3 linked regions of the Drosophila melanogaster genome follow. The protein of the gene in region 1 interacts with the protein of each later gene in a pairwise test. Each region holds a gene or a part of one and is shown in the gene's direction. Other genes may lie near its edges.

Region 1 (4,808 bases):
ATGCAGTAATCATATCGTTGTTATTTATTAACTTTCGTAGGACATTTTGTCAAATCCGGGTAACATCACAAAGTACGCGTCGAACCCGAAGATATACAACCTTATCAAGAAGATTGTGCCCGGTGGAGATGTGGGTGCTGCCTTTGGCCAAGCGGGTGAAAAGGCTGGAAAGCCGAGCGAGCCTAAGCCTAAAAAGGATTCCGCCGACTTCGTCGATGACGGTTTGGACTAAGGTTTAGAAATGGGGCAGTAGTAAGACTGAAACATGCGTCGATAAAAAGAAGTTAACAAACAATTACACGAAATCGAGCGAGATTACAAAACAACAAAGAAAGAGAAAGCAACAGAGTGCGGGGAAGAAGATGGACTACACGAAAAACAAAAGGGAAAGCAACTGCCTTACACATTTTTGCAGCTGGGAAAAAACAAACATTTCCTAAGCTTTAACTTAACCAACACGTAAAAGAACGGGCGACAATGGAGAAAATTCAAATATTCAAAATACTACAAGCAGTCAGAAGAATAAGCAACATTTATTTAAATCGAGAAGAAAGAGATGTTGGAGATGCTGGAGACGCTTCTTCACATATTATTGAAAAGCATACTTGCGGCCATTAAAGTGGCAAATGAAACTATACAAAGGAGCTAGAATATGCTTAAAAACTTCACATTTGCAGTTCACAGGTAAATCAAAAGATTGTCCTGTAACGAACAAAACATGAATGTTTAGACGTCAAGTCAGATTCAAGGGTGCCGATCGATCTAGTTGAACTAAAGCTCGAGAAACAACCAAAAGAAAATAAAAAATATATATATGTTCAATAATATTAGCCTAAATTACCGAGAACGAAGAAACGGATAAAACTAATCGCATCATTTGGTCAAACAAAATTGTACTGAGTAGGATTTAAATCATATTGTATGCAAATGCATTTAGCCCCCCAACATGAAAGCAATCGCCCATTCATTCACACACTCATTCACACACTCATTCACACACTCATTCAACCAGTGATCAATGGAAATAAATAAACGAATCAACAAGAACCCGAATTGCTAATGTCCATATTTTTTGGTAAACGGGTAAAAGGGGAGATACTTTTGCTTTTTTTTCGAGCGGGTTGAACAGATGGAGCCGTAGTCCCTTAAACTATCCGGCGCATCACCTGTGTGGGTTGCTCACTTTGTATGAAGTACATTGGGTACGCATGGTGTATGAAAGCGTCGATTAGACGCTTCAATGGCTGCACCCTGCACCCTGGATCCAGAACCTATCTACCGCACCCCGCCCCATGTCAGCGCGAAATTGGCTAACGGACAGCTTGGCGCACATGTTCGATTATGGCCAAATCGAGCGACCAAGCAGAACCAGCGGCACATGACCTGGGCTCAGCGATGCCAAGACCTGGGTGGTTGTACCTAGAGGTACTTGATTGCTTTTTAAACTCAGCTTGGTACAGCGTACACGACTGATTATTTAGAAGCTATGACAGCTTTCTTTGCTTTGATATTTTTCATATTTATATATAAATTATAAATATATATTTATAAGCAGGTGATATGGTTGAAACATATATCAACGAATATGTCAAATATAATACAGTGAAGTGTCTGCATTATTTTATTGTACCTGCGCCATCACAGGTACGGCTCCTCTTTCCATCGACTGCAGACGTACCGCTTATGTGCATGACTGGGTGTCCGGGGTGGTGGATGTGAATGTGGATGAGTGGCAGGAGGGCGCAGGCGCAGCTCAGCCCAACAGCCAAGTTGGTCTGGACTCCTGGCGGCCCATCGCATTCCGTGGCCAGTCGCAGCGCGAGACGGTTAGCCAGTTAGCCAGTGCGGACCGACTAATTCCCAATTTCCGCTCTTGACTAAACTAAAGATTGAGAAATAAAGAAAGAAATATCCTTCGTCCGTCCCCCAGACGAAGCAGGTCAATTTTTTTTTCGTGTTACTTGCTCTTTTTCGCCAAGTGTGAGTTGTGTGTTTTGGCTTGGCTAACGTGATTGAAATCGAGACAGCCGGGACATCATGATTGTCAACATGCCCGTCAATGGAACGGGCAGTGCATCCAGCCCAACATCGAATCCCAGCAGCAACAACAACAACAATAGCAGTACCACCAATCAAAATGATACGAACACTAATCTTCCCGGTGATTACAACTTTCTTAAGCGCAAGTTCGACGATCAGGAGGATTTGGCTTTGGGCCACGACTACGAGCCCATCGGGGCAAATCCCTGGAAGAAGCGACACTTGGACTACGATGCCGGGGACCTGCACTTCCACCTGCAGCTGGAACAGCCACCTAGTAATCCGCCAACCAACGCTGCACCCGCCCAATCCTCGACGTCCTTCATCAACGATCTCTTTTCCTATGAGAGCAGTCTTCTGGTGCCCGCCGTCGCCTATTCGCACTGTCCACCATCGAGTGCTCCATTGGATGACAATGGTGGTTGGACCGGTGGCGAGCTGCTGGAGCTGGATCATCGTTATAACTCCGGCCTGCAGGCGGAACTGGGGCAATTGAATGCCACTTTGCCGCCGCCACCACCAACATCATCATCAGCTCAAAATGCATCCAATCATACGCAGCAGTCAACACAACAGAATGTCAGTCCTGGTCAGAACCCACATCAGAATCAACATTTTCTGGTGCCGCAGAAGCAGCGGATACAGTCGGCGGGCCGACGCACCTCATCCGGTTCGGTTAGTGGGGCCAATGAAGCCACCGAGGCGGACTTCGAGGATAAGAACCTCTCGTGGCTGCTCAACTTTAAGTTCGACGAGTTCCCGCACCTATCGCCGCACAATCAGATTCACGGACAGGCGGTCAATCTGCCGGAGGGCAGTGCTCCACCTCATCCACCATCGACGGCAGTGCCGATCGCCACGTCGCCCTGCAGTTCCTCCTCGCCATCATCCGCCTCCGCCGCATCGGCATCCGCATCCGCCATAAGCACAAATCAATCTCTCGGATCGGGTTTGGTGGATCAACGGGCCAGATCGCCCAAGAGTTGCTCCAGTGCAGCGATGCCAGCGGCATTAGGAGGAGGAGGCAACGGCTCCGCTGGCGCTTCAGCAGCGGGGGGCGTGGCCGGCGTGGGCTCCACCAAGACTGGGCGCAAGTTCGAGGAGCTGGTGATGGAGGTCACCTCGGAGTTGGACGGTAACGACATGATAGTTGCCGAGCACGTTGTCGTCGAGGATACTTCGTCCAAGGCGTAAGTGTTGCAGAAATAAAACAATATGACAGTGTCAACGGTTAAATTCTATATTTCCTAATTTATTTGAAACATCTATTTATTCCCGTTACTCATAGAGGAAAAGGGTATACTAGATTCGTTGAAGTATATATAAAATTTGTTGATCAGGATCAATTTTTAAATTTTTTTCTCATTTTATTCCCCAATATCTATCGACATCCCAGAAAGATGATTAAATTTCGCGTTCGCATTCACACTAGCTGAGTAACGGGTATCTGATAGTCGGGTAACTCGACTATAGCATTCTCTCTTTTGTTTTAATATATTTAACAATCTTTTTCTCTGATTTGTGCGTTCTCCATTTGCTTTCAATGCCGTCCTCCAATCGATGCCGCCAACGAATTTCCCCAACCACGCAATCGCCGATCCACTAAACCACCGAACCACCCACCAATGTGGCTGAAATCCAAAACCAACCACCGCAAAACAAGCAGGCCAAAGAAACCACCGTTCACCTACACGGAGCTCATCGAATACGCCCTCGAGGATAAGGGTGAGCTGACTGTGTCGGGCATATACCAATGGATATCGTAAGTACTGTCCCCCATCGAACCACCCACTGAATCAACCACCACCGCCCACCGCCCACCGCCCATTCGGATGGACGCCATTTTGTGGAGTGCTAGCCATCCTGTTATTTTTTTTGATGGCAAAAAACGCCAGCCAGGATGCAATTAAACAAATCTCAAGCATTTCGTTTTGGCCATTCCCGTTGGCCATTTGATTTCCTCGTTCGCTGGGTATTTCTTCTTACCATGTTTTCGTTCCTTGGTTGGTAACCAAACTTAAACAAAGTGCCACACACCGGCAAACAAACGATAGCGGCCACAATGAAAGTGCCAAAAGTTAGCAGCTCAAACAGATTTATGGGCTAGAAAATTGCATTTACCTTGCCTTCGCTCGCATAAGGTGAAAAACAAAAATGTTGTTAACCAAACTATTTGCGGGTTGTTCAACAAGTTGTTTATGCCAAACTGGTATTCCCTGGTATTATCAGCTTATACGGATAGCGACCCATTAATTTTGGCTTTTGGATTGTTTAGTGGCAATTGTTGAGTATACCAAATTCTTAGTTTTATGGTGATAAGTGCTTAATACGGCTCATTCCGTATTAGTTAATCATTCAATAGTATTCAAAACTAGTTAATCATTACCTACTTTTCGCAAAACGTTAAAATTTTCAAAATTCCATTTTTACCACGCTGAGTTCGAAAATATCAATTCGTCAAGAATCGCTGACGAAGAAAACAATAAGTTTTAACACATTTTTCAAGGTTCATCAATTTGGCCTTTCGCCCCCACTGCTCCCCACCTGTTTTTTGTTATTCATTTCTTTTGTTGTCTTCGAATACCCGGAATCAGTGTAAATATTTGATGCCGCAGCCGCGAATGTTGCGTGTAAATATCCTATATAAATTTACATATAAAACCACCCCGCTCGGGAGGGGGAGGCAAATAATTTATGACATTTGCCCATCACCTGCGCACCTGCACTCCTCACCACCCCCCCGCATTTAATGTAATGAATCGACAGTC
Region 2 (4,884 bases), on another chromosome or scaffold:
TATTTCATAACTATCTTTTGATTACCAAATAGTTACTCCGTGAATAGTTGGGTCATACTCTTCAGAACCTACCCCCACAAACTAAACCATTTTCAGACGAAACCCATCGATTAGTTGGATTTAAGCATCTCGAAACAGCGACAACTTAAATGCTTACAAAACAAGAATAGTGGAAAAGAGGATGTAAAGGAGGCTGCAGAGGAACCAAAACACAAGCAGACGGGCAGACAAGTGAATAGAAGTGACAAACCAAAAATAAAAGGGCCAAGAAGGGAATTTCCTCGGCGCTAATCAATGAAATTAAAGCTGCGGCCAAGGCGAAATATCTTTAAGGACTCACTACTGAGGGGGGGCGGCATGGGGGAGTGGAACATATAGAATAGTGAGCGAGCCAAGCTACTGCCAACTTTAATGAACGGAAATTAGCAGTCAAAAGGTAAAAGCCCTCTCGCTCTCTTTTTTTCACCCGCAGCATCTGGACGCCGCGGCGAATTCGCGCACATGCACACACAATGGCCAACGGCGAAATGGAGAGAGCTCCCCACGAAGAGCGAGCATGCGCCGCAAGAGAGCGCCAAAGCTCCATGCCGATTGGCTGCCGGCTGCCCACTTTGGGTGAGTGTGTTTGTGCGGGAGAGAGCGCGCTTGTTGGATATATTTCCCCAAGATTTTCTACCTCTCCCTCCGCACTTTCTCTCTCTTGCGTTCTCTTTCTGTTCAGGCATAAACAAACCATTTTGAATAAAATCAACAGCAACAACAGCGGCAACAACTACGTTGTTGCAACAATGTGGATCCCAAGTTGCCGAGAAAAATCAACTGATTCTACACTTAGAAAAGTTTTATATATTGGTTATAATACAATTTCATTAAAAGCCTATTAACATTATAAATTTACTTATAATTGTAAAAGAAATGTATTTAAAATACGCTTAGAACCTTTATATATAAATGTATAAATTATAATATATTCTATTTAGAGTAACAATAAAAACCAAATTAAGTTATACCAAGACGTGTTTGTGAATATTTGTTAAGATAAAATATAGAATTTAAGGTTTATTTCTGTTAAATATTAAAATGGTACAATAGAAAATGACTGGAATATATATTATATAATTTTTGTAAGTGTATGGTTACTACAGTTGCTTGTGGTGCTTCTTCTTCCATTTATTCAGCTAGTACTGCTCTTCTTCTAGATGCTTTGGCCTGGTCAAGTTGCATTCAATTGCAGTTTTTCAGTTGCCACTCCGTTGGCCGATTGTCGGTTGTCGTCCTCGCGACTTTTCTTGTTTATTTTTTCAACTAGCTGTGTGTGCGTGACAGCAACAACAATAATCTGAGGACGCCTCTTGTAATTATTTTAATTTATGCGTTTATCGCTTTTTGCCTTTTGCCGCCGTTCAGCGGATTCTGTTGGCTATCTGTCTGCATTTGGTTCGTTTTTTGCCTTGACATTCGCATTTTGACAGCACGGCGAATAATTCTCGGTTCTGCCATCATTGCAATGTCAATTTTTTTCATTTTTCATTCGCTGATATTCCGACTTGTCCACGGGGCGTATGCGTAACGCGAGTTGTGTTGTGATTTCTGGCAAGTGCAATGCCGTCGGAACATTGATTTTGAAAGGAATTAAATCTGTTTTGCCCATAAAATCATCTGCTTTAGTATTATATGTTTTATTTTATAAAACTTATTATTTTTATAAAAGAAAGAAAACGGTTTGGTATATAAGCGGCCATAAAAAAATCAAAAAATCTTGTATCTTGTGCCGAATAAATAATGAATCATATGATGAGAAACAGTACTTGAATCAATAAGAATTTTAATATATTTTATTATATTTTGCAAACTGAATTACTTGTATACCCTTATTCGGTTACTCGTATGAGCCTGACTCCTCTTCTCCTTCTCAATTCCCTTCAAGAGGAAATTTTCATGCCGCTCTAAACTACAAATCAACTTAGGAGCCCCCATATTATTTCTTCCCTCAACGAACAGAAGCAGCGGCAGTCAATACATACATAATTCGGAATCCGATAAGAGCCACCCACCCATATATACATATATAGAACACTCACACACACATATGCAGTACTATTTTCCACCCACACAATACAAGCTTTTCATTTTAAAACCTCCTGTAAAAAAAAAGAAGCAAGAGAAAGAAAAACGAAGTCAAACGCCCCAAAACACCCACGCACCACCCCCTCCACCTGTTTTATGGCTCCCTTTCCCCACCCCCACAGACACACACACACACACAGAGGCACATCGCAAACAGACCAATACACTGGCACACTCACACTCACTCACTCTCTCCAACATCTTCTATAAAAAAAAAGTATTTTTTGTACTCGCTTGACATTTTGTGGATACGTCGGACGTCGTCGGAAGTCGTCGCGAACTTTGCTTCTTTTTGCTCTTTCTCTTTTCTTTAGTCTGCTTTTTTTTCACTTTTTACTTTTTGCCCATATCTCCTTGCGCGTTTTTTTAAGTCAGTCGTTTGTCGGAAGTCAATCAAAAAGCGTGTCTCGGAGAATTGTCCCAAAAGACAGAGATCACCTCACCTCACCTCGACGGCCCACAGAAAATGCAGAAAGGGCGTGAAGCTGTCGCCATTCTCGTTGGCAATTACAATTTATAAAAGTGTGGCAAAGTAAACAATTAAATTATAATTCGTGACAGCAGGCGAAAACCAGTAGAGGAAAAACCAGTAAGGAGGTGCGCCATCTTCCAGCCCAAGTGAGTTTAACTCTTTTTTTTCTTTTGTACCCACTGAGTGTGTCAAGGAGCTTGTCTTGTAACGCCCACACTCAATGCGATCGATGGATCAGCCAGATGGATGATACAGATGCCGCAAGAGAGAGAGAGAGGGCAGAACTGTTTCTTCTGGCCTGTCAGATTCCTAATGAGCTTTCCCAAGTGTCTGCGCGTATTTCAGCGTCCTTAATTGGCCATATGTGTTTGAGGGCCAACAAGTGTCCCGATATGGCTGACTATGGTAGTTGGACGGGCGAACTGAATCCATCATAGAGATCTTGGTCGGGCTTTAGCTAATCATAACAAAATTGTGACCATGTTCTGGTCAAATCTTTAACAATGGAAAATCTTAAGGTTAGATCAAATTAAGATGCAAAATGTATTAATAACAAGCAATTATCTTCAAAATGAGGCAATATATATATATATATATTGAATATAGTATTTGATTTAAAGGATAGTTTAATAACTTTTTCTAAATTTGTTCCATTCCATATATTTTTCATAAACCTTCTGTGATTTGTGTACCCTATCTTAGATGTGCCACATATATATTTTTATGGGTTTTTTACAATTCCACTTCTGGCAATGATTCGATCGATAATCACGACAAACAATTTCTCAACCGAAAGTCAGGCAAATCACATCATCGAACTAAGTTCCCTCGTATCTTTACAACCGAACCGTGTACACCCAATAGAAAATTATGAAAACACAAATTCCAAATTGAAGACAAACACAATGGCAATGTTCGGTATTATATGATCGGCGATACGTTTCCAATTGGAGTAAGCAATTGTGTTTAATTTTAAAACAAGATGAAGTTAAACAAAAATAGCGAAAGCCCCGATATTGTCGGCCCAATAAGGAATTACCGTGCCGATTGGGAATTATTGAAAGTAGCACCGAGGAATAAGTGACTGCATTTAGTCGGCGTTCGCTTTGATCATACCGGCAGATATATCGATTCCTGGCAATTGGTTGCTGACATGCAAAGAACATAATTTACCGACTGGCAAAATTGATAAACAATCTTCGTGTGGCACTTTGGTTGCGGCCAATTTGCCGTCGATACTGACAACTCAATTGATTTGTTTACAAGTGCCATTAATGTTAGTTGCCCCGACCCGCCTCTTCGTGGCTCATATGTACATAAACCCGTTTGGTAATGTATGTAAATAACCATTTCCATAAACGCACTTGCACTTTTCAGCACCGTATCTTATCTGGCCAAGTTGACTTGTTGTTCGGGGCATTTGATCGTTGCGCTTGTAGTTTAATTTCCCATTTCTATTTCCTTTGATTTCATCGCCTTTTGCCGTGATTTTTCGACACCCACCCACCCACTCCTTATCTCATTTGACTTCAATTTGTTTTCAATTTACAACAATTTCGTTTCAAACCACATTTGGTAAATGTGCCCATTTTCATTCTCCCATTTTTTGTTTGCATAATAATACAAAGTTTAGGTTTTAGTGCCTTTTATGGTGTCTACTGCTGTAAAGTTGTATACAACCACTTTTCACTTGTGGGAGCTGATTCGACAGGCCATGGGAAAATTTAGAGAAATGTTTGGACTGCTCAATAAACGAATTTAAAAGAGCAAACATTTAAACTATATAAATTGCGATATGTACTTTTATGACATGTTTACTTTCGAGTGGTATGGAATTTCTGTAATTATTTAACTGAATGATATAGTTTCTCACATATTAACATTTTCATTCAATGCTAGGTACAGTAAAACTTCTAATCAGTAACTTACTTTACATTTACCTTTTAGAAGAGAATATTAACTTTTAAACTTTTACCCTTATATATTTTTTTATCAAAATACAAACTTGTAATCGCAGAATGGGCTGACAATGCAATATACTCATGAGCCAGTTAATAAACTAAACTAATTAATCTCAGTTATAAGGTATACAAACATCCGTTCGATTTCAAACAAATCCACTGTTTCCACCTGTAACGTGAAAAGTCACGTGTACAGGAATGTGGATGGGTCAGTTATTTTAAGGGAAAAATCAATTACTTCCGCTATCGAGTCGTAAAGATCACAGCGCTCTATGTATTTAATAACAGCTTTTTAAAGTGCAGTTAACAGCAAATTAGGCTTTC
Region 3 (4,801 bases), on another chromosome or scaffold:
GGTCCCCCTTTTGATATCGGAAAGTCGAAAGTCTAATTTCGGTTGCCCTAATAATTGAAATACGACCTGGTAGATACCCGCAGCGCTGGGCCAGAAATAGACAGCCTGTCATCAATATAAAAGTCGGGGATTTGGCCAAGGGACACAAAGGACATTGTGTAATTACGCCATCGTAAAACAGAAATTCCCCGGGGTGCTGAAAGTCGGACCTTGCACCACAGGTGGAGAACCCTTTATCATCATATTGTACTGCATCATCGTCACTCAGGTGAAATTCTCCCCTCTGAGTGGGTGGATCGCTGGAGTACCAGCCAGCCCTTCTAACATTGTGCCACATTTACGTAACTGGGCAAATGTGTGACGGCGAGTTCAAAGGCGGTAAACTCGAGAAGGTCTGAGCAACTCGAGTGGCTTTAGTATTTCGAGGGCCTCCTCTCAGCGCGATTATCATTTCAAGTCTATCTGCAATCTGGGTTATGCCAGTCGCACGTTCTGAGAGGTGGCAGTAATCAACAAAAACATCACACCATGGATTGCCAAAATGAAATATATCCTACAAATATATACAATTATTAAATATATATAAGTGGGTTAGATATTATGAAGCACGTTTAACATGACAGACTGATTCCCATTCTCTACTTCATCTTGTCGAATTGATTTATTTTGTTACTATGGAATGCAGTAAACTTCCTGAGATCTCCAGAGGTCATGAGTTATGACTCGCATGGCCATTGGAAATTATGTCTGATTAGTTCCGTGGCATGTCAGTTGCGGAATACGAGGCTATAAAGCCAGCATCATTTACATCAGTCGGCTGTCTCCCGGACCATTTCCTTCAGCTTCCCCCTTTCGACCCAGCTAAACCCATTCTTCCACTCAAGGAGGAGGATAAAACCTAAGGGAAAGGCAGGCAAATGCGAAATAAAAACGAAAATTATGAACTGCACAAAAGCTGTTGTGAATATTAATAAATTCTGCCTGCTGCTTGTTTCTGTTTCTGTTTCAGTTTCAGCTTCCTTTGAAAGTATCGCTGTCTCTGTGGCTGTATTTCTGTGCTGGCAGAGCGAACAAATCAAAAAGGGGAAAGTCCCAGGGAGGAGATACAGATACAAATACAAACGCAAGGATACGTCAAAAGGAGCAGTTATTTATTTATTTGCGAGGGGCGGTCGGGGGGTTAAACTGGCACAGGCACAGGCACAACAATGGCGGGCTAACGCAGAATAATGGGATAACAAAACGCCCTTGACACCCAGTAAAAGACAGCCAGCCCTCAAAAGTGGGCAAAGTAGCCTTATTATTATGAACACAGCACGTAGCAATTGTCCAGGGGCGGAGGGCAGGGCTCTGCCAGGGGTCCTCAAAGGGGGAGAACGGAACAAAGGACCAAACCAGAGCCAAACCCGAAAGTACAAATCAAACCCTCGAGAGCGGCCAAATAATGTACGGATGAAGAGCGAGAGGGAGAGTGGGCGAGAGAGGGAGAGCACAGCAATGGCGCACTGCAAACACCAGGGTCTGAGTGAGAGAGAGCGAGAGAGTGCCGACTTTGGGGGTGTGTCTTCCACGCACTCGAATGATCGGACCTCCCTTTCGCACTGCCGCTGCACAGGCAGCTCTCGCTACTCGTCGGCCAGAAGACCATCTCCCTCACACCCTCTCGCCGGTGCACGGGCAGAAAAGAGAGATAAGATAGCGGGCAATACACGGGGCTCTTGCGTTCGAAAGGCGAAATTCCGGGGTATTGCGTTCAGTAGCCGCGAGTTCTCGTCGCCAGCACCACGTTTACCGTTAGCACTGGCCCAACCACCCCGCACAACCCCACCAGCCAGATACTCGCTGCATGCGCTGTACAGTGTACACGCATCCAACAGATACTTTTCCGAATTCGTTTTCAATCCAGCTACGTCCTGTTACGGATGCAGACGCGTCGCCTCCGTTGTGATACCAGATACATGTAATTGCAGGTCTAGAGCTACAGATTTAGATACAGAGATTCGAGTACCCTAGCAGATACTTAGCCTAATTACGCCGTGGATTAAACTATTAAACACTTAAATCCGCCAGGATTTGCCTATCAAATCAAATCGAATCGAAATCATATCACTGAGAGTGCCGCGAGTGACTGTGTGCGCGAGTGTGTGTTTCTGTGAAGCGGCAGCGAGATTAAAAACATATCCCCGAGTTACTTAAAATTAATCACTAACATAATCACTGTGATTTTTATTATTTGATCTGCCGACGTCAACACCGCGTGTGCGAAAACTGTTTAACGGCTGGGGCTTTATTAAATGCCGCTTCGCATTTGATTAGCAATCTGTTGCAACAACACAGCACAAACCTACCGATCTCCCCGAGATTTATAGCCCACTGCCCACGCGATATATCCGGAAGATTTTCGGAGACTTTCCCAGATCTCCGGCATTAGAAATGCTGGCCATCTGATTTATTGACGGACCCACGACATTTGCTCCATCAAAGTTCGCCTTTGATATTCGGGATCGACAGAACCAGAGAACCGACGGAAGTTCGTTCCCACCACCTAGTGGATTAATTTTAATTCCTCTCCCATCATTCAGAGGTGAGTCGCAGTCGCATAAAGTTAATCATAACTTAAAACTTGTTACACTGACCTCAGTGATTCTTGAGTTGCTAACGCACGAAGCAAGAAATTATAAATCAAATTTGATTTAGAAATTCAAAGATTTTAGAAATTGAATTATATAGGGATCTTTTAAAAACGAAAGTTATTATCAGCAACAACGATGTGTTAGGTCATAATAGCCAACAGAAGTTTTCCGGTAAACACCTGGCTAGGAACTTAAGCGCCCCTTAATAGCAATGTCAATTCAGCTGATGCTAGGAAAACAGCCTAGCTTTCCAGCGAGGATCAGCAGAGGTTCCCATTGAGGGCCCAGAGCAAGCCCATAAACGGCTTGTTGGACAACGAATTAAGTTTACGGCGGACTCTCACGCCGCGCATAAATCACGGCGGAGTGAGACTCGGATCCGGATTGCCGCCATAAACAGAGATCTCGGCCATTCCGTAAGGGGGCCTCTGGGCTTCTGGGCCAGTACTGTGGGTTTTGCCAAAAAAATTGGAGGAGAGCCCGGCCAAGCGGCGCTGGCTCATTGACGTCACCTGAACAATTAGCAAACAAGATGTGGAAAAAACCTAAGTACACAATGCTCGGACTCGGATCTCCGGGCAGCCGCTAAACTCGAATTTGAATAAAATAATAAAATTAAATAGAAATGAAAGCATGTGGAAAGCCTTGGCACAACATCGGAATCTTGGCACCTTCGCGACGAAGAGGCCGTAAACACACGAGATCTCGCGGCCATAAAGTGGCATAAAATAATTCTGGCATTCTTTGTCTTAGGGAATCATTATGTAAATAAATTCTCACTTTTGAAATAAAATGACGAGGCAGAAAAGCCAAAAGCTGAAAAACACACAAGAAATGGAGCGGAGAATATTCTTTGGCGAAATGGAATGGAAACAATGGCAAACTGGCAACCGAATTATTTATTAGACGCTGCGGCAGATAATTTAGCCAGAAATTGAGACAACTGCGGCAAAGACAGAGCAAATAACAGTATTATAAATATCCCCATCACGGCAATAAATGCAGAACTTTTCATTTCAACGGCTGACCCCCCCCCCCCACCCACACACACACCAACTAACCAATCGTGTGGCCCATAAATTGGCTTGAAGTGAAATTATGTTTATCACGAAAGGCTGCCTATTATTATTGCTGTTGAACAACCGCAAATGGATTTAACATTACAGCCGCACTAATCCACTGGGGATCAAGTGGAGATCAAGCGGCATTATCAGCGAAATCGAAAGTGACAGCTCAAGCCAAGGCATTCCAATTAAATTTAATTAAATTCACTTAAACACACAACTGCGAATTTATGCTGCCGCTAGATTTATGAAATTCGTTCTCGTTTCGAATGCCTTTGAATGCCTTTAGTTTGTTGTGATTGAGATTAGATAACCATTTATTGCAACGTTTCGTTTCGTTTAGTTTGGTTTCGTTAGCTCAGATAGCGGACCGCATATATAACGTATATGTACATATATGTATATGCCCATTCCCGCCCGATATCGGGCAAAGGGGCCTAGGAACCTGGAGAGGTGTTCCCTCCCTTTTTGCTAATTGATTTACGATCGTTTATGGCTATTTTCGTGCTACTGTCAGTGGGCTGTTTTTATTTTTAACGAATTTATTGGACGCCCATGGCACAGTTTATCGCACTACTGACTGTCAGTGCGGCGCTCTACTACTTCTTCGAGCTTTCCCCAATTTCGATTGCCAAAATCCAAAGGCGCCCAGTGTACGTGCAATCATAACAATAATAATAGCGGAGAAATGCTCGCAGAAATGAAAATATTTTACATCGATAAGGCTGTTATCACCTGGCCCCCGCCATCTCCGCTCCAACAGTCTGCTGATAGCAGTGTAGGCGGTTCGGGGGTGCGGTGGTGCGGTGGCTCGGTGGTGCTGTTGTCAGCCCATATGCCCCACCAGATCCCCTCAGGTGCGCTCCGCCAGCCATACGATTTACGACGCCAACTGAAAGAGTCCCAGTTTACCACTCCGTTTGCCGCCGGCTCCAGCATCCGTGGTATTAACCCCTTGACGTGTTTGGTGTTAACTTGCCATTCGGCTGGTGTTTGGGTTAAGCTCCCTGTTTGCCTTCGCCGTTGAGGCGATAAAAGGTTCCACCAGTTGATTTGCCTACCAGGTAGCCAGCCAAGCGATAATTATGTCTGAGTAGCAATGAA

What was found. Proteins that work in one complex are often made in the same cells at the same time.
Region 2: the proteins of fd3F (region 1) and pdm2 interact in a two-hybrid assay, tested with the Drosophila melanogaster proteins (one large-scale study listed by BioGRID).
Region 3: the proteins of fd3F (region 1) and Ptx1 interact in a two-hybrid assay, tested with the Drosophila melanogaster proteins (one large-scale study listed by BioGRID).

Annotation. Positions count from the first base shown.
Region 1 is NC_004354.4:3,800,520-3,805,327, forward strand, and holds the start of fd3F (forkhead domain 3F), read left to right. Parts: upstream 1-1,796; 5' UTR 1,797-2,037; coding exon 2,038-3,230; intron 3,231-3,706; coding exon 3,707-3,802; intron 3,803-4,808. Other genes in the region: HIP (Hsc/Hsp70-interacting protein), read left to right, coding at 41-232.
Region 2 is NT_033779.5:12,655,329-12,660,212, forward strand, and holds the start of pdm2 (POU domain protein 2), read left to right. Parts: upstream 1-1,836; 5' UTR 1,837-2,745; intron 2,746-4,884. UniProt on the Drosophila melanogaster protein: DNA-binding regulatory protein implicated in early development. Involved in neuronal cell fate decision. May act as an octamer-dependent activator of transcription.
Region 3 is NT_033777.3:30,911,001-30,915,801, forward strand, and holds the start of Ptx1 (Ptx1), read left to right. Parts: upstream 1-1,753; 5' UTR 1,754-2,584; intron 2,585-4,801. UniProt on the Drosophila melanogaster protein: Appears to control physiological cell functions rather than pattern formation during embryogenesis.